Linked DNA regions of Pelodiscus sinensis. The protein of the gene in region 1 interacts with the protein of each later gene in a pairwise test. Links are inferred from orthologs where the notes say so. Each region holds a gene or a part of one and is shown on either strand. Other genes may lie near its edges.

Region 1 (11,973 bases):
ACCAGCCTGTTCCGATGGTTAACCACCCTCACGGTTAAAGCCAGGCCTTGTGTCTAGTCAGAACGTGTCTGCCTTCAGAGCCAACCCTTTGGCTCCTGCATGCCTAGTCTCTGCTCAGAGAGAAGCTGGTATTTTTGCCCAGGGAGGTGCTGATACACTGTCACTAAGACGCCCCGCTGCTTGATCTTAATCTACGCAATAAGCTAACCCCATAGAGCTCTTCCATTCTCATTCTCGGGCATTTTCTCTGTGCTCAGAGCGTGTCCACGGCTCTTCCCAGCACCCTCTCCAGTTCTTCAGCGTCTTTGGTGCTCTCAGTATGGGTGAAAAGAGGGAGACTGAGGTGTGAAGAGAAAGTCAACCTGTGGTACTCCCTGCCAGAGGATGTTGTGAAGACCACGACTTTAACAGGGTCCAAAAAAGAACTAGATAAATTCATGGAGGTTAGGTCCATCTATACTTATTAGCCAGGATGGGTAGGAATGGTGTCCCTATCCTCTGTTTGTCAGAGACTGGAAATGGATGATGGGGGATGGATCGCTTGATGGTTCCCTGTTCTGTTCATTCCCTCTGGGACACCTGGCATTGGCCAGTCAGAAGCCAGGACACTGGGCTAGATGGACCTTTGGTCTGACCCAATATGGCTGCTCTTACGGTCTTATGTTACGCCCAGGTGTCAAGGAAAGGCAGGGCCCGCAGTAGCCCTCAGCAGCTGTGGGGCTGGGGTCACAGGGCCGGGGAGATGGAAGAGACTGGAAAGGGTCCCAGTTGCACATTCAGCGCAGGCCCTGGGTTGGAAGAGGTGCAGTGTGGGAAGGTGACCGGTGCCAGGGCTGTGCAAGGCAGGAGCTGAGCAATGGTCCCCGGTGAAGCAGACAAGGCCAGAGCACTGGTCTGGTTCTAGACACTTGCCCAGTGCCCATCAAGCTCATGGATAGTTTGCCCTCCCCCTTCCCCACCCATTGCAGCCCTCAGGGTTGTCCATGCCCTTGGGGCCCTTAGACTTGCTGCCTTGGGCTGTCTCTTGGCAGCTGCTACTCAGTTCCTGCCTGGCTTGTCTGCATGCCGGAGGCAGGGAGAGGAAACATGTCCGCCCCTCACAGCCAGCTTAGTGCTGCTCCCACCCTGCAAAGTGTAACCAGTCAGACAACACCCCTCCCTCCTCTTCACTGGTGTCTAGCTGACAAGACATACTCCTCTGCTTTTCCCTTCTTCTCTGACCTCGGCTTTCCTAGTTATAATTAGTTACGCTCTTTATCATGCCTTTGGTATGTTACAATGCAATTTCTTGCATTCAACGCTATGAGACCCCACTGTTACCTGCACAAATTTCTCTAACGCTTCCACACTGTAGGGACACACACCTTTACCTAGTTCCTAGGACTGAAGGTGCAACCCTGTTAATTTACACACCCACCCTTACCTAATTCCGAGGGCTCAGGGCGGAACTTCCTGCAGGTTTTGCAGGATCTGTAGCCACTGAAAGAGCCTCACTCAGTAATATCTTTATCCTCTATTTATTGACAATTCCCAAGCAAGCAGAATATACATGCTAAGCACACACTGTCATGCTCACCAATCCTGATACAGGCAGGCAGACTTCCCCTGTTGGCCAGGCAAGGTCAGTCTCTCTGGATCTTAGCTGCTGCATGTCATGGTTGTGTAGGAGAGTCCTGGCAGCTCTGATCTTAGGCCTCTGATCTTGGAGGTGAGTTCTTTTTCCAGGTCTTCCCCCTTCCTCTTGGTGTTCCTTTCTTTCCTTCTGCTTCTATTACTTGTGCTCTTCTTGCTGATCTCCTTCTTGGACCCCAGTTTATATAGTGACGCCTGAGTCCTGCTTAGCTACACCTTAACCCAGTGTTTCCCAAATGGTCTTCTGCAGAACCCCGGGGTTCCATGAAGCGAAAATAAGGGTTCCGCGAGAAAATTCCTTTACAATAACATTTTATGATTTAAAAATAATTCATATTTAAGCATTTATGAATTTTATTGAAAACAATTTTCATTTGTGTTTGCCACGATAAGTGCCCCTGTGTAATGCCAGCTTAGCCAGAGAGTGGGGACGATGATGTCACTACTCAGCGTTGTTGTCCATATATTAGATTGTTATTGGGAGTTCCGCAAAATTCTTTCAAGTTTAAAAGGGTTCCGTGGCCAAATAGAATTGGGAAACACTGCCTTCACCAATGATTTTTGTGTGATTATAACATACTGTAACAGAATTACCTAACCAATCATACCCCACCATCTTGGTTGATTTACACCTAGCAAAATTAATTATACAGCAGACAGAAATGGTTACAAACCGGACAGAGATCACACAGACAAACAATAGGAAAATGTGAGGCCAATAATCAAAGAATGAGGATTCCACAACCACAACTATTGATAAGCAGTTTCTTGCCAGACGAAATGCTGTTAATTAAGTTTTCTTTGCCCATCTTGAGATCTGTTTTCTTTATCTGGTGACAATGGGGGCCATTAGGACAAGGTCGCCTTTTCACAGCCTAGTGTGACACTATTTTAATGCAATTTAGATGGAATGTGAGGTTATGACTCCAGGCTTTCCAGCTAATGGCTGCTGCTCTCCACTCTGGCTGTAGAAGAAGGCTTTAGTTCATGCCTACCAATATGGCTACAGGCCTTCCAACATGGTTACAGAAAAACGATATTGCTACACCACTCTGCTTAGAAACCATATTGCTTATGGAACCTGTGCACTGTGTGTGAAGTGTGAATGAGAAATACCCAACCAAAAAGGCAGTTGAGGATCCATGATCTTTTCAGGCAGACAAAGACCCTGCGAGCAGATACATTAATGGACACGCAGCCAGAAAATCTCTCCCTCGCTCTTGGCCAAAATGTAACATCACAGCAGAAACCTGGGACATGGCCGAGTCTCCAGGAAGCGGTCACCTGTCCAGCACTCCAGCCACCAGCGAAATCTGAAGTAATCTACACGGCACTTGGCAGCCTGTCTCCAGACTGCCAGCATGACTGTGATATGTGTGAGTGTGGGTATGTCTACACTAGAAAGTTAGTTCGAACTAACGGACGTTAGTTCGAACTAACTTTCCTATGCGCTACACTAGCGCTTCGCTAGTTCGAATTTGAATCGAACTAGCGGAGCGCTTAGTTCGAACTAGGTAAACCTCATTTTACGAGGACTAACGCCTAGTTCGAACTAGCTAGTTCGAACTAAGGGCTGTGTAGCCCTTTAGTTCGAACTAGTGGGAGGCTAGCCCTCCCCAGGTTTCCCTGGTGGCCACTCTGGCCAACACCAGGGAAACTCTATGCCCCCCTCCCGGCCCCGGACCCCTTAAAGGGGCACGGGCTGGCTACGGTGCCCGTGCCAGGTGCAAGCCTGCCAGCACCCAGCTAGCAGACCCTGCACCTGGCACGGCACAGAGCCACCCACCCGATGCCCCCCAGCCCACCCCCTCTTGCCGGGACCAGGCTGGCGGCTCCCGGGAGCTTGCCCTGGACCGCAAGAGGCGGGCACCTTCCTGGGCTAGTGCGGACATCGTGGACCTCGTCCACGATCTCCGCACTAGGCACAGGAAAGTGGCCGGCTAGGGCAGGAGAGCTGCCAGCCTGGCCACCCAGGACCAGGTGTGCATGAAAATCAAGGGGGTCCACTGAGACCCCCGACCCTGAGCCCTGAGCTTACAATGGCCGTCCTGGGTCAGACCAAAGGTCCATCTAGCCCAGTAGCCTGTCTGCCAACAGCGGCCAACCCTAGGGACCCTGGAGGGGATGGACCGAAGACAATGACCAAGCCATTTGTCTCGTGCCATCCCTCTCCAGCCTTCCACAAACTTTGGGCAGGGACACCACTCCTACCCTCTGGCTAATAGGACTCCATGGACCCAACCTCCATCACTTGATCTCACTTCCCTTTCAACTCTGTTCTAGTTCTAGCCTTCACAGCCTCCTGCAGCAAGGAGTTCCACAGGTTAACTATTTGCTTTGTGAAGAACAACAACTTTCTCTTACTAGTTTCAAGCCTGCTACCCAGTCCTTTCCTTTGGTGTCCTCTAGTCCTTCTTTATGGGAACTCATGAAGAACTTTTCTGAATGCACCCTCTCCACCCAACCCCTGCTTTTAGAGACCTCTATCCTGTCCCCGCTCCATCTCCTCTTTTCTAAGCTGAACAGTCCCAGTCTCTGTAGCCTCTCTTCATCTGGGACCTGTTCCCAACCCCTGATCATGTTAGTTGCCCTCCCCTCTCCCAGCCTTTCTCTTCCCCTCTCCCACCTCCTTTTCCCAGTCTCCCCCAGTTTTTTTCAATAAAGACAGAGTCAATGTTGGAAGAAACGTTATCTTTATTTTGTACATCAATAAGAAGGGGGGCTAGGGAAGGGCAAGTGGAAGGAGGTGAGGGAGGAATGGGGTACGAGCCCCCGATGGGGAGGACTGGGCTGGCTCTGCGGGCTTCTGGGGGTGGAAGCTCTCCTGCAGCCCCCCAATTACTCCCTCTCCCCAGATGGCAGCCTGCGGCAAGTGCAGCCGGGCTGATGGCCGAGTGGTGTGATGTGCCCAGTGTGGGCACTCAGGGCACTCCAAGCCAGAACTTCTTTGCAAGCGGGGCACCCCTTAGAACTGTGTGTCCGGGGTGGGGGTCGGGACCCTTTAAGCGCAGCCCTCGGCTAGCCTGAGACAGTATCTCCATGCTCTAAGTCCTCCTTTTATGCCCTGCCGGCACTGCTTCCGGCCATCCTTAAGCCCTGTTCAGAGTCCACTCAATGTGGACTTACTAGTTCGAACTAGCAAAACGCTAGTTCGAACTAGTTTTTAGTTCTAGATGCGTTAGTTCGAACTAGCTTAGTTCGAATTAACTAATTCGAACTAAGTTAGTTCGAACTAGCGCTGTAGTGTAGACGTACCCTGTGTGAGTATCACTTGACTCTTAAGAATCTGTGCCAATAAACAGCCCCAGAAGCCATACTGCTCCAGGCCCACCCCTCCTTGTCTGGGTTTGTTCCTCAGAAGCTCTGAGGAAGTGTAACACAAAGGGATTTGGGGCTAGGAAAGTGAGGGGGGAGCTGGGCAGGAGTCAGGAGGAGCCACAGAGCTGGGAGGGGGCAGGGCTGTGAGAGCAGGGGGGAGGGTGAGCTAGGGGGGGTCAGGAGGGAAGGGCTTCAGCAGAGGGGGGGAGCTTGGAGCTGGAGTTGCAGGGCGGCTGTGAATCAGGATGGAGGGGCATTGGCACAGCTGCAGGGGGGCGGGGCGGCGCTTGGATGGCAGTGGCGCAGCTGAGCTGCATTAGAAGAGCTGGGTGTGGTGGGGGAGACAAGAGTGGAGCAGCAAAGGGGCCTGTAGGCAGCAGCTGGGCTGGGCAGGAACAGCAGGGGCTGGAATCTAGCTTGCAGGGACTTCCTCTCTCTTCCACCAGCTCCTGCCGATCCCCTTATCTCCCTGTGAGGCCGGGGGGCACAGGAGGGAAGCTGAGAGATGTGGGCAGGCTTCTAATAAGCATGTGGGGCCTGGACCTCAAGAGATATAAATGGCGTGATACCCATGTGCACCCACTGGGGAGCTGTCCCTTGCATGCTAGGCTATGGTGGAGCCAGAGAAACCCAGTCACTGCCCCCCAAGCTTCCCAAGCGTTGGGCTTCATTTCCTAGGGACTGTACATCCAGCACCTGCCCTCCCCAAAACGCCTGTGATCTGGGGAAGGGTTGCCCCCCACCAGCACTATGGGTGCAGCAGGTCTTTGGGCAGAGGTCACTGCCTGCCAAGGGAAATAATTCACCCAACTCCTGACTGTGGGAGGTAAATATTAAACAAGGGCTCCGTGGCTTGGACCCAGAGCAGCTTCTCGCACCTGGGTGCCCCAAGAGAGAGGGTTATTGGGGGCCTTGACTGGCAGTGGACAGGATCAGCGCGGGGGTCTTTATCAACAACCTGAGAGGTGAGTGGTCAGCAGTCTCGGGCTCTGCCTTTGGCGGGAACATTTCTCTATTTCGCTCAGTGTCCCCTCCCCAGCACCTGGCAAAAAGAAGGGGGCGCTCGGTGGAATGGAGCCAGGCTGATCAAAGCAAGGATTTGTGTACACCGCCAGGCATGTCAAACTGGCATCTGGAGGGCCGCATGTGGCCCCATTGAAGTTTTTTGGGGCCCGCCAGTGCATTTTCAGACAGACGGAAGTGCGGCCCGCTGGCCGCGTGGAGCACGTGACTGAGTGCAGGTGACGCCGGCTGGGCAGCTCTGCGCATGGCCCCCAGCACGTGGTCACAGCCAACCAGCCACTGTGCGCAGGGCCCGCAGCATGTGATCACAGCCAGCTGGCTGCTTACTCTCACTACCCCAGCGCCTAAGGAAGCGTGGCAGTGGCAGCAACAGCAATGTGACGACGGTGGTTCCAGAATCCAGGCATTAAGTTGTGGGGGGCTGAGGTATGCCTGTCTCTGGGGGAGGTGGGATGCATTAGGTTGGGAGGTGTCTGCCTCTAGGAAGGGAGGAGGCATTAGATTAGGAGGAGCTGGAAATCCTTGGCTCTGGGGGAGGAGGGAAGCATTAGGTTGGGGGCGGGGGGCCTGGAAGTTCCTGCCTCTGGGGAAAGGGGTAGGCATTAGGTTAGGAGGGGGCTGGAAGTCCTTGGCTCTGGGGAAGAGGCGGCACTGGACCACAGCTCTTCTACTCTTCCCCTTGTACAAGCATACAATTAAGTGTTATTTGCATGATGTCATGTACTGTTTCTCAGATAATATGACAGCATACAGGTTTTTTCCCTCGAATGGAATAGAATCAAGAGGACTATAATATATACACCCACAAGGGACTGATTTGTGGTTCTCAGTTTAATTTTCATCTTCCCTGAGTGTTAAGAACCTAACTGTACTACTGTGTTAATATTTGTCATATGATTTCCTTGGAATGTAGGCATTGCCAAATCAGCCAATGGGATCCTCTTGTCTAGTCCAGTACTCTAGGTACAAAAGTGGCCAATACAAGATGTCACAGGATGGGGTATGAGTGTGCTCGCACATGTCCACAAGAAACTATAGTCGACAGTTATCCCCGGATAGGGAATGTTGTTTCTTTACTCCCATCATTTTGAAACATGACCTGAAACATGGGTTTTAATCTGTTGTTTATCCTACCTATGGTATTTTAGATGTTCTCATTATCAATAAGCCTTTATCCTTTAAAAAAAATCTTACAAACTTTTGACCTTGCGGCTATTTAATGGCAGTGAGTTCCACAGATGAATTGGGTAAAAAGTTTCCTTCCATCAATATTAAATGTGTTGTCATTTAAGTAAATGTAAAAAGAGATTCAACGAAGCCAGGTGAGGGTGACTCATTAATCTTTTTAATGGCATTACAATACTTTCAGTGTTATTTCCGTTCCTTAAGGATTTCACTCTCCCTCTTCTCTTTTTAATGTGTCTATTACACATTAAGCAAATGTTCTCTTTTTTGTGTGAAACTGGTCAAAAGGAAAGGAAAATTGGATCTGTCTTCCATTGCAGCAGCAATGCTAATGACTCCCTTTTCACATTTTTCAAAGTGTTAATTATTCTGCTTTTTTAAAATATGGTTTCAACCATTGGTCCTGGTATTCAAGACCATACTCTTTTTTTTTAAATTCCAGGATACATTCCTAGTGCTTTTAAGATAGAAACAATATTCGCCACTCCCCAGTCCTCTGGGAAAGAACTTATTTTGATGAGATTGCTTAACTTCATGAGTAGCTCACCTAGTTCATTCGGAAATTTCTTCCAAACCCATGAGTCATTTCATCTGCACCTGTTGCTCTTAGATTTATCACTTTGTTCTAGCTGTCTCATCTTAAATACATCCACAGAAGTTGAGGAACAGTTTCTGCAGGAAGGAAATAACTTAGCTTCTTTGCAATGTCTTTATTTTCCTTTAATTTTCTGTTTACTCACTGCTAGTCTAGCAGACTCAACAATGTCTCTCAGGGTACGTCTACACTACAACGTTAATTCGAACTAAGCTAATTCGAACTAACGGATCCAGACTAAAAAACTAGTTTGAATTAACGTTTTGCTAATTCGAACTAGCATGTCCACACAGAGTGGACCCTGAACCATGCTTAAGGATGGCCGGAAGCAGTGCCGGCAGGGCATCAGAGGAGGACTTAGAGTGTGGAGATGCTGTCTCAGGCTAGCAGAGGGCTGTGCTTAAAGGGTCCCGACCCCCACCCCGGACAGACAGTTCTCAGGGGTTTCCCGCTTGCAAAGCAGTCCTGGCTTGGAGTGCCCGGACTACCCACACTGGGCACATCACAGCACTCGGCCATCAGCCCGGCTGCACTTGCCGCAGGCTGCCATCTGAGAGTGGGGGAAATTGGGGGGTTGCAGGAGAGCTTCCACCCCCAGAAGCCCGCAGAGCCAGCCCAGTCCTCCCCATTGGGGGCTCGTGCCCCATTCCTCCCTCACCTCCTTCCACTTACCCTTCCCTAGCCCCTCTTCTTGATGTACAAAATAAAGGACAATTGTGTTAAAAATGGAATCTGTCTTTATTGAACAAAACTGGGGGAAACTGGGAAAAGGAGGTGGGAGAGGGGAAGAGAGAGGGTGGGAGAGGGGAGGGCAACTAAAATGATCAGGGGTTGGGAACAGATCCCATATGAAGAGAGGCTAAAGAGACTGGGACTTTTCAGCTTAGAAAAGAGAAGACGGAGGGGGAACAGGATAGAGGTCTCTAAAAGCAGGAGTTGGGTGGAGAGGGTGCATACAGAAAAGTTCTTCATTAGTTCCCATAAAGAAGGACTAGAGGACACCAAAGGAAAGGAATGGGTAGCAGGCTTCAAACTAGTAACAGAAAGTTGTTCTTCACAAAGCAAAGAGTCAACCTGTGGAACTCCTTGCTGCAGGAGGCTGTGAAGGCTACAACGAGAACAGAGTTTAAAGGGAAGTGAGATCAGGTCATGGAGGTTGGGTCCATGGAGTGCTATTAGCCAGGGGGTAGGAGTGGTGTCCCTGCCCAAGGTTTGTGGAAGGCTGGAGAGGGATGGCACGAGACAAATGGCTTGGTCACTGTCTTCGGTCCATCCCCTCCAGGGTCCCTAGGGTCGGCCGCTGTTGGCAGACAGGCTACTGGGCTAGATGGACCTTTGGTCTGACCCAGGATGGCCATTGTAAGCTCAGGGCTCAGGGTCGGGGGTTTCAGTGGACCATCTTGATTTTCATGCACACCTGCTCCTGGGTGGCCAGGCTGACAGCTCTCCTGCCCTAGACGGCCACTTTCCTGTGCCTAGTGCGGAGGTCGTGGACGAGGTCCACGATGTCCGCACTAGCCCAGGCGTGTGCCCGCCTCTTGCGGTCCCGGGCAAGGTCCCGGGAGCCACCAGCCTGGTCCTGGGAAGAGGCAGAGGGCTGGGGGGCATCAGGTGGGTGGCTCAATCCGTGCCAGGTGCAGGGTCTGCTGGCTGGGTGCTGGCAGGCTTGCACCTGGCACGGGCACCGTAGCCAGCCCGTGCCCCTTTAAGGGGTCCGGGGCCGGGAAGGGGGCAGACGAGTTTCCCTGGTGTTGGCCAGAGTGGCCACCAGGGAAACCTGGGGAGGGCTAGCCTCCCACTAGTTCGAATTAAGGGGCTACACAGCCCTTAATTCGAACTTGCTAGTTCGAGCTAGGCTTAATCCTCGTAAAATGAGGTTTTCCTAGTTCGAACTAAGCGCTCTGCTAGTTCGAATTAAATTCGAACTAGCGGAGCGCTAGTGTAGCGCCTATTAAAGTTACTTCGAACTAACGTCCATTAGTTCGAACTAACTTTGTAGTGTAGACATACCCTCATAGACTTCCTGCTTCTTAGAAACAAATATTTTTGTAATGTTTTGGCTGTTTGCTCATCAATTCCCACTTTGCAAACCTGATATCTATCTTACATTTTACCTATCCTTATTTCATGTTCTGCTCTATAGACTTTACTTGGGATGGGTTTCCAATTTCTGAAGGATACCCATTTGGCTCCAATGACATCTGCTTTAAAGATAAAAAAGGAAAATGAACATATCCAGTTTTATATCTAAGAAGTACCAGCCAGTCGAGGGTAACCAGGGCCTACCAATATTGCTAATAAATAAGCACTTTTACATCAGTCAGCCAAAGGGCAATTAACTTGTCAGTTTTGCATGGATTATCTGTGTAAGAATATTACGTGTACCTTTGAACATGCATAGTTAAGAAATCCTAAGGATAGCATAAAGGCCAGCTTTTCAAGCCACTCGATTTGTTTTGGTAATCCTGGGGATAAATAGACAGAGCTGGGGTGGGAGGAGGACATGGATGCAGAATAAGATGTCATATTTAAATTCCAGGGCAAAAAAAAAAAAAAAATCAGCATGTACCTGGTTTACACTGTGTTTCTTTCAAGGAAATTCAAAGGCTATAGTTTGCCAGGCTGAAGCAATTATTCTGATATATGAATCTCTCCCTTATTGTTTGGGACCATTTGGGACAAACCTGAATTTTTAGAACTATAAAAAAGCCATAATCTTCTCAAGTAAACAAAATGAGGAAACCAACAAGCTGGAGTGAAACAATTGTGCTAATATACTTCCCAGTTCAGCTTAAGTTTAAAAAACTCACAAGATGTAATAGGGCAGAAGTGTTACATTTAAAATACATAGTGGGGTGATTTTTTTTACTGTGAGAATGTTACAGTATTTTTAAAGGGTTTTTTTTTTCATTGTTAGCTTTTTCTACTTTTTTGATAGTGACTTCGCAATGTCACTATCAAAATGGGAAAGTAGTAAATCTATAAAAAGGAAGATTGAAGACAAGCACCGTGTTTTCCAGGACAAATGGGAACTGTGTTATCAACTGAAAGGCAAGATTAACCACTGACTATACTTGTTTTTATTTCAACAAAACAAGTTATGTATCATACACAACATTTAAAAGTACCTTAAATTTATATTTAAATTTTAAATTCATAGAACCATAGAACACTAGGACTGGAAGGGACCTCGAGAGGTCATCGAATCCAGTCCCCTGCCCTCATGGCAGGACCCAGTACTGTCTAGACCATCCCTGATAGACATTTATCCAACCTACTCTTAAATATCTCCACAGATGGAGATTCCACAACCTCCTTGGGCAATTTATTCCAGTGTTTGACCAGCCTGACAGTTAGAAACTTTTTCCTAATGTCCAACCTAAACCTCCCTTGCTTCAGTTTAAGCCCATTGCTTCTTGTTCTATCCTCAAAGGCCAAGATGAACAAGTTTTCTCCCTCCTCCTTATGACACCCTTTTAGATACCTGAAAACTGCGATCATGTCCCCTCTCATATTAAAATTAATTTAATATGAACAAAACACAATTTTACACATAAAATTATTGCAAGATTATAAAATAGATAAAATGTAATCTATAATAAATAGCCGACTTTCCAACAAAGTCGTCCCCCCCCCCCTTTTTTTTTGGTATTATAACCAGGTGGGAACTTGAGGCGGCCCTGTGAGCTATCAGTTTTCACTTGTGTGGTCCTCAGTAGGCTTCAAGTTTGACATTGCTGGTGCACACCATGCCCAATTGGCCTGTGGAACTCATTGTCACAAGATTTTGCTGGTGCTTAGCAGAACTCCTAAAAGGGACAGAGTTAGGATACATGTTCAAGGGAAAAGGCCTGTGTAAGGACTTTAAACCATCATGCTTTGAAATGCAACCCCATAGCTTTCAACAAGGGGGGGAGAGAGGCTAGAGTGACTTTTATCTGTGAGGAGGGGGCAGCTGCTCCCACCACTGCAGCGTTTATTGCATGTGAAGCAGCTGGGACTGACCACAGTTTGAATCAGGATGTTGAGTTAGACCACCCCCCCCCCCCCCCCACACACACACACACACACACACTCCTGCCTGCTCAGTGTTAGTGCCTGGAAACTCCTCCCCATCCCCATCCTTGTGGGTTTCTCTTTTTGGTGACCTTGGCAGATTTGCCTTCCTGCCAGTGTTCCCCTTATAAGCTCTTGGTCCTGGCAATCTGCTCAGGATCCTA
Region 2 (12,585 bases), on another chromosome or scaffold:
AGCTTTCCTTGCAGACTGGCTGCCAATCACCCCGTGCTGTGTGATACAAAGGCAGCAGTCTGGGGTGGCAGCAGCCCCATAGGACTGGGGGGGCTGAGCTCCCAGATCCAGCTCGAACCAGAACTGAACTGGGCTGCCTGGTTCCTAATACACTTTAAATGCAGAGCTGCAGCAAGAGTAGGTTCTGGACCTAGCATAAGCCAGGACTGAGCCGGGCTGTTGGCCAACCTGCCAGAAAGTTTTCTGGTGGGGAGGGAATACGTGTACTCTATATACTTGTAGTCTATGCTTTTGCTTATCAGTTAATTGATTAACCGACTATACTATTACATCCCGACTGTGGATGGGTCAGGAGCTGCTACAGCCCAGCCGGGCCAACAGTTAACTAGTAACTACCACTCAATAAATCGACATCACTAGCCAACACAACTACTTCATCATTTCCTTTTGCTTTACTGCACCAGCACTGGGTTCAGCCAAACCATAGGGATGTAAACTCCCCCTATTTGCTTTGCATTAGTAGCCTGCAAATCAGGGTAAGTCTGAGTGATGTATTTGGATGGTAGCGATTCTCCCTCTGCAACACAAAAAAGGAGATAAGGGCTAGATATGGAAACTACTCTGAAAATTATAGCTAATTCTTCCATGTAAGTGAACATTGAGAGCTGAATTATTTGCCACTGTACCAGGTTTGCTACATGGAGTAAAAATGCATGAAAATAGAAAATGCTGTAAGAGTTTGATTTCAGCACTTTCAGAACAACTCAACATTTCTATCATGTATTTGTGATAGAAATGTTAGTGTTACAATTTATGCCTTTTCGTGTATCTGGCTTTGATTTATACTCCTTGAGCGAGCACTTTTCAGATTATTATTCCTTCTCGGAACAAGGAGTCTTACCATCAGCTGATTAAGCGTCACAACATGCCACCAAGGTAAAGACACTTACAGGTGTGGAGGGTGCATTTAAAAAAAAAATCTAATGAAGTAACCATATAGATAGGAATACTGAGGCCTGGCATTCAAATATCAAACAGCATTCACAGTGTCACAAGAACATTTTATTCCAAACTCCTATTCCTCTACTGTAGACATGCTTCAGACCTCTGGGATCACAGTACAGTAATGAACAAAAGTCCTAGCAGGACTTCATAGGACTGGTTTGAGAGTACCCTGGAGAATGCTTTGTTACTCCTACAAGCAGAAGCAAAGTTTACTTTTTTGCACGTCATGATACTGTGACTGCAGCATATAATCCATTTGACTGAATGGGGCAGGGCTACACTTCCATCTTTTTAAGGAATAACTATCCTTCCTAGCTTGAGACATAACCGAGCTCTGATCTGACTAATGCACTAACAGTGTGTAGCTATCACATCTTTGTTTCACTGTCTCCAACATTTTTAACCACAAGATCGCTTTTTCTATTTAACTGTGACCTCAAACCCAAATACCCTCGCCCGTTTCCGCCCTGGCCCTTCTTTGAGGCCCCGCCCCTGTTCCACCCCTTCTCCAAGACCTCACCCTGCTCACTCCATTCCCCTTCCTTCCCCCATTCTCACTTACTTATGCCAGGCTGGAGCAGGGAATTGGGGTGCAGGCTCTGGTCTTGAGCCAAAGAGTTTGGAGTGTGGGAGGGGCATTGGGATCTAGGGGGGGTTTCAGGGTACAAGCTGTGGGAAGGAGTGCAGGGGGACTCACATCTGAGGCAGGAGGTTGGGTGTAGGAGAAGGTTCAGGGCTGGGACGGGTTCAGCTGGCTCTGCATCACTCCTGAAAGCATCTGGCATGTACAGCAATGGCTCCATGGTGCCATGTGCTGCTCCTTATCTACAGGCCCTGAGCCCACAGCTTCTACTGGCCAGTTCCCCGTTATTGATCACTGCAGACACCATTCCTGCAGCTCCCATTGAAGGACAGCATGTAGAGCTTGCTCCAGCCATGACAGGTTAGGCATTTTAGAACTCAATCAAAAATTACATTTAAGTGTAAGAAATGAAAATTATGAAGTGCACAGACCCAAAATAACCCACTTTGCAAGTAGTAGAAGTAACAACTCCCCACTTTTTGTTGGGTCAGGAGATGAGAGTGAAGAACAGTGTGTGTTTGTGACAATGACAGACACACAGCGTGTGTGACAGATTTGCATTGCCAAGCTCCCTCTGTCCCCTTCTCTGTGTGTGGAGTTAGGGTACAGGAGTGGGGGTAAGAGGGACATCCTGAAATCAGCACTCCCCTCTTCTTCCTACCACACCATGCACAGCAAGCAGGAGGCTTCCAGGGGGGCAGCTCCAAAGCAGAGAGCAGGAGCAGCATGACAGTGGGTGGAGGGACAACTGAAGAGCCAGCACTTGATAGCTTTTTGGACAAACCAGTCAGGATCACCTGTCAGAGGCTCCAAGATCTACCAGTAGATCCTGATCTACTGGTTGGTGACCACTGCTCTAAGTAATCCTCCCTCCTGGCCACTTGGCTTGTGTCCTTTCAGTTGCCTCATACCATGCGTCTTTGTTGCCACCCCTCCCCAAAGTCTTCCTCAACCTTCACATTTTGGCAGCCATCTTTAAGCAGCTACCTCTAGCAGATAGCTGAAAATGTTATTCACATCCCTGTCTGTAGCTGCAAAAAATGAGATGCGGATATCTACATCCATATCTGCAGTTTTGCAAGGCTCGGTATACAGAGGGTTTTGAGGGCCTGCACAAATTCTAAAACTGAAGCTTCCTATTCCCCCCCCCCCCCAAAAAACAAAACAAAACAAAATACGCCTTCCAAAAAGCTTTCCACTGAGGGCAGGGAGAATGATCCTGCCCCACATTCACCTCAGAGCAGGGTTAACAGGAACAAATATCAGTAAGTGATGTTGTAACCTGATACATTAGCATGCAACACCACTAAGTTTGGGCTCTCACACAGAATCCTAGGCAAACTGCCCGCTTTATCCCATCCTGAGGAGCCCTGAGTCCATGTTTTATCCATATCCAGGCCTGCTTCTCATTATGGAGCAAATCTTGCTTATGATGAGGACATCTTTGAAAAGGAAAGGATTACCTGAGTCCCCACCCACAGCCATGGAATAGTAGAGCTGTTGTCCTCAGTTGGTAGGAAGGAAAGTAAAGGATTTGAAGAGTGATTCCTCCAGCCTTCCCAAGTGTGCACAGCTATTCAAGTAGTTGTGTGAGAGAATGGGCAAAAATGCCCTCTGTGGCTGTGTCTAGACTGCAGGTCTAGACTGGGTGCTCTCTTTCGAAAAAGCGGCTTGCTTTTTCGAAAGTACTGGTTGCAGTCTAGACACTTTTTCGAAAGGATCTTTCGAAAAACCCTCTTTCGAAAGAGGCTTGCATTCTAGACGTAGCCTGAGAGACTGCCAAAAGAAAAAACACACATAGGCTGCGTCTAGACTGGCACGATTTTGCGCAAATACTTTTAACTGAAAAGTTTTTCCATTAAAAGTATTTGCGCAAGGGACTGTCTACACTGGCACAGTTGCTTTTGCATAAAAGCATCCGTGCCAATGTAGATGCTCTCTTGTGCAAGAAAGCTCCAATGGCCATTTTAGCCATCAGGCTTTCTTGAGCAAGAAATTAAGCTGGCTGCCTATGCTGGCCCTCTTGCGCAAGAATACTTGCGCAAGAGGGCTTATCCCTGAGCGGGAGCATCGGAGTGTTTGCGCAAGAACCTCTGATTTTGTACATTACAAAGTCAGTGTTCTTGCACAAATACTCGCAGCCAGTGTAGATAGGTGGCAAGATTTTGCGCAAAAGTAGCCACTTTTGCGCAAAATCTTGCCAGTTTAGATGCAGCCATACTACTTCTGTAATCAGAACATTCTATAGCTGGAGAGGTGTTAGGCAAGATTTTCTCCTGTGAACTTTCATAATGCTATATGAACTGGTGCAGCTTTAAACAACTCCCTCGGTACAATAAGATTTGCTTGTGTTGACATTGTATGTCATCATGTGATAATAAAGGTAACCATTACACTTATTAAAATGCATACTGTGCTTTATAAATCTGCTGCATTACATGTCATTCTACAGCAATAAGCAACGTGAGAACTGAAGTCAGTTAGCACTTCATACAACTTTTTTTTAATTTGTGAAAAGTACAATCTACAGTACACAATCAAAACTAAGTCCGGTCAATGGAAGGATATTTTGAACTGATGTGCCATTTAGTTCCTTTGTGGGCACAGTTGCTGTTTAAAAATAACCATTTCCCTGCTGTCTTTGCAACCCAAATATTAAAATATTATGCCTAAGAAAATGAATGAGTTTCAATTTGTTAAATTGAAAAAAAAATCCAAATCAATCATAAGCACTGAAAATGCTTAAAATTCTTATTTACAATAACCTTAGATAGTGCCTGTAGCTCAGGGTAAGAAAATGTTTTTCAAGCTTCTGCAAATCTGTAATATACTTCTGTTCAGAATTTATCCTTTTCTCTATGTACACAAGTTAAAATGCCACAAGCCATTGCTGAATGCTGGACAAATCTTACTCTGAATCCCACTGACACTAAGTTTTGATCTGACAGAAGAATTGCTACAAAAAGTGAGAGGCATAGTTCCCGGTTACTGCTAGCCAAGGTCACAAGTGAGCAAGCGGTTCCACCTCATGACCATTTCTTGCACTAGTATAATCCTTACTTTGCAGTTCTACAGGAATAATTTGCAATTTCAATAACTTACTAACTTTACATGTTAATAGAAATTAAAATTTTCTTGATCAAAATTTGACAAATTGAAAGTGAAGTCTCACAAGAGATAGTAAAAATGCTGCTGTGGTTTCTATGGTTCTCTCTGATAGCAAGTTACATTTGCTCAGTTTTACCAATAAATTATTTTTAGCTGCTATCCTAGTCTGAAAGCACCATAAAAAAATACCCCACTACCTGCTAGCTCAACTGCACATTCAGGTGAACCAATTTTAAGTGCAAGTTACCAGACATGAGTATTATACTAGCTTTATTTACATAATAGTTGTGTGTGTGCAATGAGATTCAGCTTTCATCTGAAATTACTACACAGAAACTTCTGTCTAGTGGTTACTACATCAAGGTATGCCCTTTGTATAAACACAGGTGTGCATGCTGGCTGAGGATTTGTACGAAAAAAGGATGGTAATATTCCGGATTTGAGTATTTATACATCTATTAAACTATGCTCTGAATTCAGCATGAAGATCAATGGAAAATGTATTAGTAATATCCTCCAAATATTTGGTCAAACCTCTGTTTATCTACAATATGGCCAAACTTTAGAGTAAAATATAAAATGTGTGTACTATTATGCTGTTTAAACTGAAGCAGTACTTCGTTCTTGGCATCTCCAGTGTCACCCAAGGGCATCACAGTTTCAATTGGACAATAAATGACTTTCTTTTGACCCCAAAATGTCAAATGTGCCACTTTTACCATAGTGCCAACATCATTTAAGTATATCAGTCCAATCATTCGTCTGAAAAAATAACTTGTACCATACAGCATTGCAGCAGCAAAGCAAGCAATGCCAGTGACATACAACAGAAAATCCTGAGAAACTTGTTCCTGCAGATAGAGGTGATAGACTGGAGGGAGGGTGACTACGGTCAGAGCAGTCTGTAACAACTTCATTCTTGAAAATATTCGACAATATTTAATTCCTGGGAATTTGTAGACCAGTTTGAACTGTTCCGTGTCCTGGCTCGCAGGCTTTTCCGAGCCTCGGTTGGTGGGGGTTAAGCTACCGGCACATCTGTACTGTGCCAGCCCCGCCCGAGGATTGCCCGCTCGCCACCGCGGAGCCTGTAAGAACACAGGGGTCCCAAGCCAACGGGGGCGGCACCTGTCTCCTCTCTGCCACAGTCTGGCCGAAGGCTCCCGCGGCAAGGCGCGCCCACAGGGAGGCAGCGCGGAGCGGAGGCGAGTGCTGGTTTTGAAGACCGCGGCCTACAAGAGAAGGTTTCATGCCCGGTCTTCACACCTCGCACCGGCAGCCCCGCCCAGCGCGGGGCCCAGCCCGCCTGAAGCCGCAGCCCAACCTCGCCCCAAGGCAACGGGGAGCCCTCGCGCGCCGAGCGCCGGCCCGGGCCTGAGGCGCCCCCAGCACTAACACCGCGGCCAGGGAAGCGCGGCGCCCTCCTGCCCGCCCGCGCGCGCTGTACAGCGCCGAGCCCCGCCTCCGGGTGCCGCCCCCACCCGCCGTGGCACGAGCCGCGCGCCCAGCTAGGCCCGGCCTTACCATCCCGAGACAGAGACGTGGATCCAGGACCCAAGTGCCACCGCGCCTGCGCGGCGCTCGCGGGCCGCGTACGTCGGAGCTGCTGCGTTGCACCGTGGGAGGGGCCCGCAGGTGCCTTTCAGTCGAGCTGTTGGGCTCCCGGCATCCCCCGCGGCTGGGTCGCGCAGACCCGGAAGAGAGTGAGGCGCCCTCTCATTCATCCGCAGCATGGCGGCGCCGGGCAGCAGCGTCCTCTGCCTCTTCGACGTGGACGGGACCCTGACCGCGCCCCGGCAGGTGGGCCCAGGGCCGGGGGCGAGCGGGTGGAGCGCGTTGCGGCGGGAGGGACCCTGGGCTGCCAGAGCGGGCGGTTGCTGCCCGGCCGCCGGGCACGGAGAGCAGAGAGCCCCGCGAAGCCGCCGGGCTGTGTCCCCACGCAGGGGCTCTGGGGAGCTGCGGCCGGTCGCGTGCAGGGGGTGCCCGCTGGCCGTTGAGGGAGCTGGGGGCGGAGCCTGTTGCTGGCGTTTGGGGGGGACCTGGAACTTCCCTGGTTCTCGGGCTCAAGGAGCAGCGTTGCCACCTGTTAACCTGCGTGATCTGCGCGAGCCGCTCCCTCGCGCACGGGCGTTGCGCCGACTTACTGATGCCCCTGGGCTCCGGGTGGGGAGGGGCTGGCTCCGTGGGGGGCTTGTCCCCGAAGGCTCATCACAAGCCACTGCGGGTTTTTAACGTTTAGCAGTAGGGAGAACACTCCATTAGCGAGCCGGAGGCTATAGTGACTTCCTTGTTGTTTAAGGGATTTTGCCTTCCGGGAATATTTTCTCATAGACATTTTTAAAATTTTTCTTATATCGCTTCTTAAAACCCTGCAGAGTTTAGTTCTCAGTGACCTTTCTCCCACTGCACTGTATTTTAATTCAACTGGTACTCATGGTAAAAGTAGTTAACTACCTTAAAATATAAACTGTTTATTTAATCTAGAAAATCACAGCAGAAATGGCAGAATTTCTGCAGAAGCTACGAAAGAAGGTGAAAGTTGGAGTTGTAGGTGGTTCAGACTTTGAAAAAATTCAAGAGCAGCTGGGAGATGATGGTAAGAAAAAAAAAGATGTAGCAATCCAAGTTGAAACGAATTCCTTATGAGGAAGTTCTGATGGGTAAATACAATCCCTTTCTCCCAGAGTTGGTCACGTCATTTTTCATTAAATGCAAACTTCCTTATTCTGAATATGTTTCTCTGATTTTACTATATTACGCCGATTTCATGAAATGTTAGTTAAGATATATTTTAACAATCTTTATAAAATGGAGTTGTTTGTATCTCATTACATAGTTTATCTAATGTGCTCATCCACGCAAGAGCTGATTTTTATTAAATAGTGCCTTTGAGATCTGGTTCTTTCCCTTTTTTAACTCTGTGTAAGGTTTTTAATGTGAAAGATCAGTATTAATTGCCTTTCATAATTCACAATTATGCATTCCCAATATATACTGACAAACATTTTATATAATCATGGTTTTACTTGGCCTGGAAATGGCCTTCCGAAGTCATCTGATTTTTAGTTAGCAAGAGCCAGATACCCCCAAATCATCTCCAGCAGTATTACAATTATTGCAGATGTTCAAATAAGGATGTGATTTCACAGCTTTTCTTGAAGCAGAATATTTAGAATATGCCACAACTGATCCTATAGTGGTTTTTTTTTTACTTGAATCCCAAGGCTGAGTTTTAGTTTCAGTAGACGTATTATACAACTTGTAGAACAATAAATAGTAGTATTGTACATTAGGAATGTAACATTCCGATTAATCAGCTAATCAGGTAGTGGATATAATTTCCATCGATTAGCCTGTAAGGGGGGGCACTTGCTAACCTGTTGCATTTCAAAGGCAGAGGTGCAGTGGAGAACCTGTGCGAACAAAGACCGAATCAGTCCCCGCTCATGTGGGGTCCCGAGTGCTGCACCTGTCCCTTTGAAATGTGCAAGAGCCACCCATAGCCCTTGAACATTTCAAAGGGAGAGGCACAGCAGTCGGGACCCGCAGGAAGGGACTCTGCTGTTTCCCCTGCTGTGCCTCTGCCTCTCTTCAGCACTGGCTCCTGTTTCCCTCCTTCCCTTGCTGCAGAGGCAGCAAGGGAAGAGGAGCAAGTCGTGACTCGACTACCTGATAAGCCTATGCTTATCAGGTAGTCAACTAGTCACTTACATCCCTATTGTACATTTTCCTATTGAAACATAGTCCGTGGCACAGAAGAAGCCATTTGGATTTATCATTTTGGAACCATATTTTTGTCTCCTAATTCTACTTACATATTTCAAAGGAGACTTGATCCTGTAATTCAGTTTAAAACACACACATTTTTATCAAGTAGAATTGCATTAAAATAATCTCCCTCAAATAGTAAACTTTTCTTTGTCCTCTTATTGATTTTTATGTCCAGATTGTTGTTCCAAGGTTTTGCAATGGTGACTGGATCCATGGCAATTTACAACAGGGGTCGGCAATAATTTTTTCAGGAGGGGCACTTCATAAATTTTGGTATGTGGTGATAGGCTGGTTCCAGGGGCCCCTGGAAGCGGTGGAGTCTTGGGTGGAAGGGGTTGAGGTGGGGCTACAGAAAGAGACATTTTGTGTGAGAGAGACTGTGTGACAGATTGTGGCACAGACTGGGTGTGTGTGACAGTGACACAGAGCATGTGTGCTCGCTAAATTTCTGAGCAGCCACGCTCTGTCTCTTTAAGGAAATCTGTCTTGTCTCTCTTCCCCCTTCTGCTCTCCTCTGAATCACGCTTTAGAATGGAGCAGCTCTGCTGATTGAGTGTGTTATTCTACCCCTGCTCTGCAGAGACAAGGTACAGGGGCAGGGAGACAGCCTGACTTCAGCACTTCCCTCGCCCCTCCACCTGAGTTTGCCCACCCCTGGTTTACAATAGTAAAGCACAACTAAATGTGCTAAGGATAGAGTCAGATCCTTCATGCTAAATGTATGTAACTTAACTACTTGCTATTCTCATGGTGTAAGATCCCAGTGGCTTCAGAAGGAGGAACAAATAGAAATTGCAGAATTAGGTCCTTTAAGTTTTTCATCAGACATTACAAGTGTATAGCTTCTGCTTAATATTCTAAAATTATTATTATTCTAAAATTATTATATTTTGATGTATTTAGTACTGAAAAGGTTTGCATACAATGAAGGAAAGACAAGATATAAACTGCAGCATTTTTTGTTTGTGTTTTTAGTTGTTGAAAAGTTTGACTACATCTTTCCAGAAAATGGTCTAGTCTCATACAAAGATGGGGTGTTGTTGTGCAAGCAGGTATGTTTAATAGATCTTATAAACTAATTGATTATTGTAAGGCTAAAATCTTTCAAACAAGATTTTTATTCTCATAATTCTGCATGGAGAATTGCCTGTCTTGTTTTGCAGCTGCAGTGATCATTTAATAGTCTGAAATTATTGCTTTATATATAGAATTTTATTTGTACAATTGACAGTCCATCTCCTCTCTTAAATCTATAGATTGACGCAAGATGTAGAGCCAGATCCTTACCTCAGACCTCCTGGTTTGCCCTGCTCAAAACCTGGTAGATTTGACTAGAGAATTTTTCCAGCACGTAAAATTCCTGAGTGACATCTTTCCTACTCTCTGGCATGGGGGTCATGGCTGGAGACCTCTAGTGATGCCCACTCATGGAATTTCTATAACAATTGGGCCTCATTTAGAACACCTTTGAGGCTACTCTAAATTATAGCTGGTCCTTCACAGGCCTGAGACTTGGGAAGTGGAAAGGGTGGCTTAAAGCCATCTCCTTTCCTTGACCACCAGTGGAATGTACCCCCACTGCTGCTTAGGAGCTAGCACATAGGGTGGCCTTGATTGAGTAGAGTATTTTTATAAGCTGCTAGAAATAATTTAAGAGGCTGAGAAAATACTGGTGATTAAATCTAATATTGTGATAATCTTCAGTGCCTCAATTTAGCTATTGGAGAATGGAAAATAAAATAGCTCAGGACCTGACCCATATCTTAAGGTACCGGTTCCCAACTTATTTGGCAACTGTTTCCCGCACTTAATTAAGCTGTACTAGCCCCTATCTACTCCTTTCCATTTCAGCATGCATTTTCTAACCCACAGTGTGAAGTAGGGGCATGGAGGAGCATGTTATACTGAGAGATAGTGTTCGTGTAAGCTGAGTGCAGATCGCTCAAAGTGCCCACAGTCGGTAACATGTGTTTCTATTGGTAGTACAAAAAACAAAAATTATTCCACACATGGATTAGAGGGAACATTCGTGAGAAGTGGTCAGTTGTGCAGCATAGCATTTTATAATTAAGGTAGAGAACGGGAGCCTACAGTACCAGTACTGCACATACACTGAGAACCACGTACTTAAGACCTGGTTTTCTGGCATCTGCTATACACGAGAATCTAAAACCTGTATTGTCAATAAGTTACTTTCAGAATTCTGGATCTATAGTTGATATGTCTTTTTGTATGTTTAGAGCATTCAGAGTCATCTGGGTGAGGACTTGCTCCAAGATCTAATCAACTACTGTCTGAGTTACATTGCGAAGATTAAACTGCCAAAGAAAAGGTAGGTATATGTGCATGCATAACTTAGGGAAGAGAGTATTCCTGCTTTGGGGTATTGATCTTCAGTAGGGAAGACACTGTCCAGTCATGTTACAAATGAATGGATTGTGTTTGAGTACATACTGTATAATTGAGAGAGATGTATGCTATTGTTCAGCAATCCCATACAGAAAAAGACAAGCTCCACTATTGGAGCAAGTGAAGGATCATGGGTAAAGATTATGCAACGTTGCTCAACAGGGAATTGTTTATTCTCCATAAAACAAATTGTAATATAAAAATCTAGATGGACAGAACATTGGGTGCTCATTGGGATACCTCTTATTTTTATTCCTTATGAAGTGCAGATTACATTTGGTGTAAAACATTTTCTTGAAGCAGTTGGAATTGAAAGGCATTGTTGCTTTTATAAATGAAAGTTGCAAGGTTGTCTTCTAAAATTTGAAATGAATTACCCTGCACAGTACTTGGGAATACAGAGGCTAGAGACACTGAGCTTGATCCTTTGGTCCATAAAGTTTGGCTACATCTTCACTGCGAGTTCTTCTGGCAGAAAGTATGCTAATGAGGGGCTCATTAGCATAAGTTGCAATCTCATTAGCATATTTTCTGCGGTTCCTTTTTGCGCAAAAAGAAACAGCAGAAAATATGCTAATACGATTGTGGCTTATACTAATGAGTCCCTCATTAGCATACTTTCTGCTGGAAGAACTCGCAGTGAAGACGAAGCCTTGGAGTAAAAGGTGTAAAAGCTACCCTTGCAGCTCCCCAGTATCAGGGTTGGCTAAGAACTGTCCTAAGGAGGCTTTTGGATATGACCCACCAGAGCCTCAGGAGGGGCTGATCCATTAGCCAGCAAATAACTGGTAGAGTAAAAGGGTGTGTTAGCTATGCATCCTTTTCACTGGGAGTGTCTTCTATACCACAGAACAGCATGGGTAATGTAGAGATGGCTAACTGGGCTGGGCTCCAGGCCAGGGAAATCAAATCCCATTCTGGCTACATTCACAAAGGAATAGGGGCTGAGCATCTGATCCACAAGGTCATGAGCACTTATCAGCAATGTGCAGGATATTCTGACATCCTAAGCCAGTTTCTATTTGGGCAGTTTGAAAAGCATGCTTGTGTTTTCCTCAGCTATAACTAATACAGTGGGTAGATGCAATGTCTATACTGTTTTCATCACATAATGCCATTTTTTGCTCTGCTCCTGAGAGCTCCAAAACTTCTTTTAATCAAGCGTCAGCAATGGGATCATAACTGAGTGTCTGTTGGATATATGTGGACTTGTGTCCATTTTCAGCAGTGACAGGTGACTCTTGTTTTCAGGGGTACTTTTATTGAATTCCGAAATGGGATGCTGAATGTGTCCCCTATTGGGAGAAGCTGCAGCCAGGAAGAGCGAATTGAGTTCTATGAACTTGATAAAGTGAGTCAGTTTTTAAATGGTTTACATCTCTTACTTCTCACTGTTCTAGGGGACACTGCCAGGATCAAATTCTATTTTCAAAAACTCCCCTTCCAGCACTTAACACCTTTCTCCCTGCTGTTGGTTGAGTTTCATTGTTCAAACTGCAGGAAATATAAAATAAGCTATCTGCTTTTTTACTTTCTCTGTCTGATGCTCTAGCACAATGCTATTGTGAGGCATTTACAAATCGCCTTTCTTTCCCATCCTGTATCAATCTCTCCAAAGCCCTCATCTGTCGGTATATTTTGAGTTCTTTATAGTTTCAATCATTGTATTTGCTTTTGTGGTCTTTGAAAATGAATGGAAGTGCTCTCTC

What was found.
Region 2: the proteins of ACY3 (region 1) and PMM2 interact in binary tests that used the Homo sapiens proteins (3 or more experiments, as listed by UniProt). The two-hybrid records come from large-scale screens. The link is inferred for Pelodiscus sinensis from reciprocal best matches to the Homo sapiens genes ACY3 and PMM2.

Annotation. Positions count from the first base shown.
Region 1 is NC_134714.1:126,719,423-126,731,395, forward strand, and holds the start of ACY3 (N-acyl-aromatic-L-amino acid amidohydrolase (carboxylate-forming)), read left to right. Parts: upstream 1-6,202; 5' UTR 6,203-6,217; coding exon 6,218-6,399; intron 6,400-11,883; exon of another isoform or gene 11,884-11,973. UniProt on the Homo sapiens protein: Plays an important role in deacetylating mercapturic acids in kidney proximal tubules. Also acts on N-acetyl-aromatic amino acids.
Region 2 is NC_134726.1:10,773,801-10,786,385, forward strand, and holds the start of PMM2 (phosphomannomutase 2), read left to right. Parts: upstream 1-6,357; 5' UTR 6,358-6,427; coding exon 6,428-6,496; intron 6,497-7,180; coding exon 7,181-7,292; intron 7,293-9,442; coding exon 9,443-9,519; intron 9,520-10,707; coding exon 10,708-10,799; intron 10,800-12,127; coding exon 12,128-12,227; intron 12,228-12,585. Other genes in the region: TMEM186 (transmembrane protein 186), read right to left, coding at 5,200-5,928, 6,221-6,223. UniProt on the Homo sapiens protein: Involved in the synthesis of the GDP-mannose and dolichol-phosphate-mannose required for a number of critical mannosyl transfer reactions.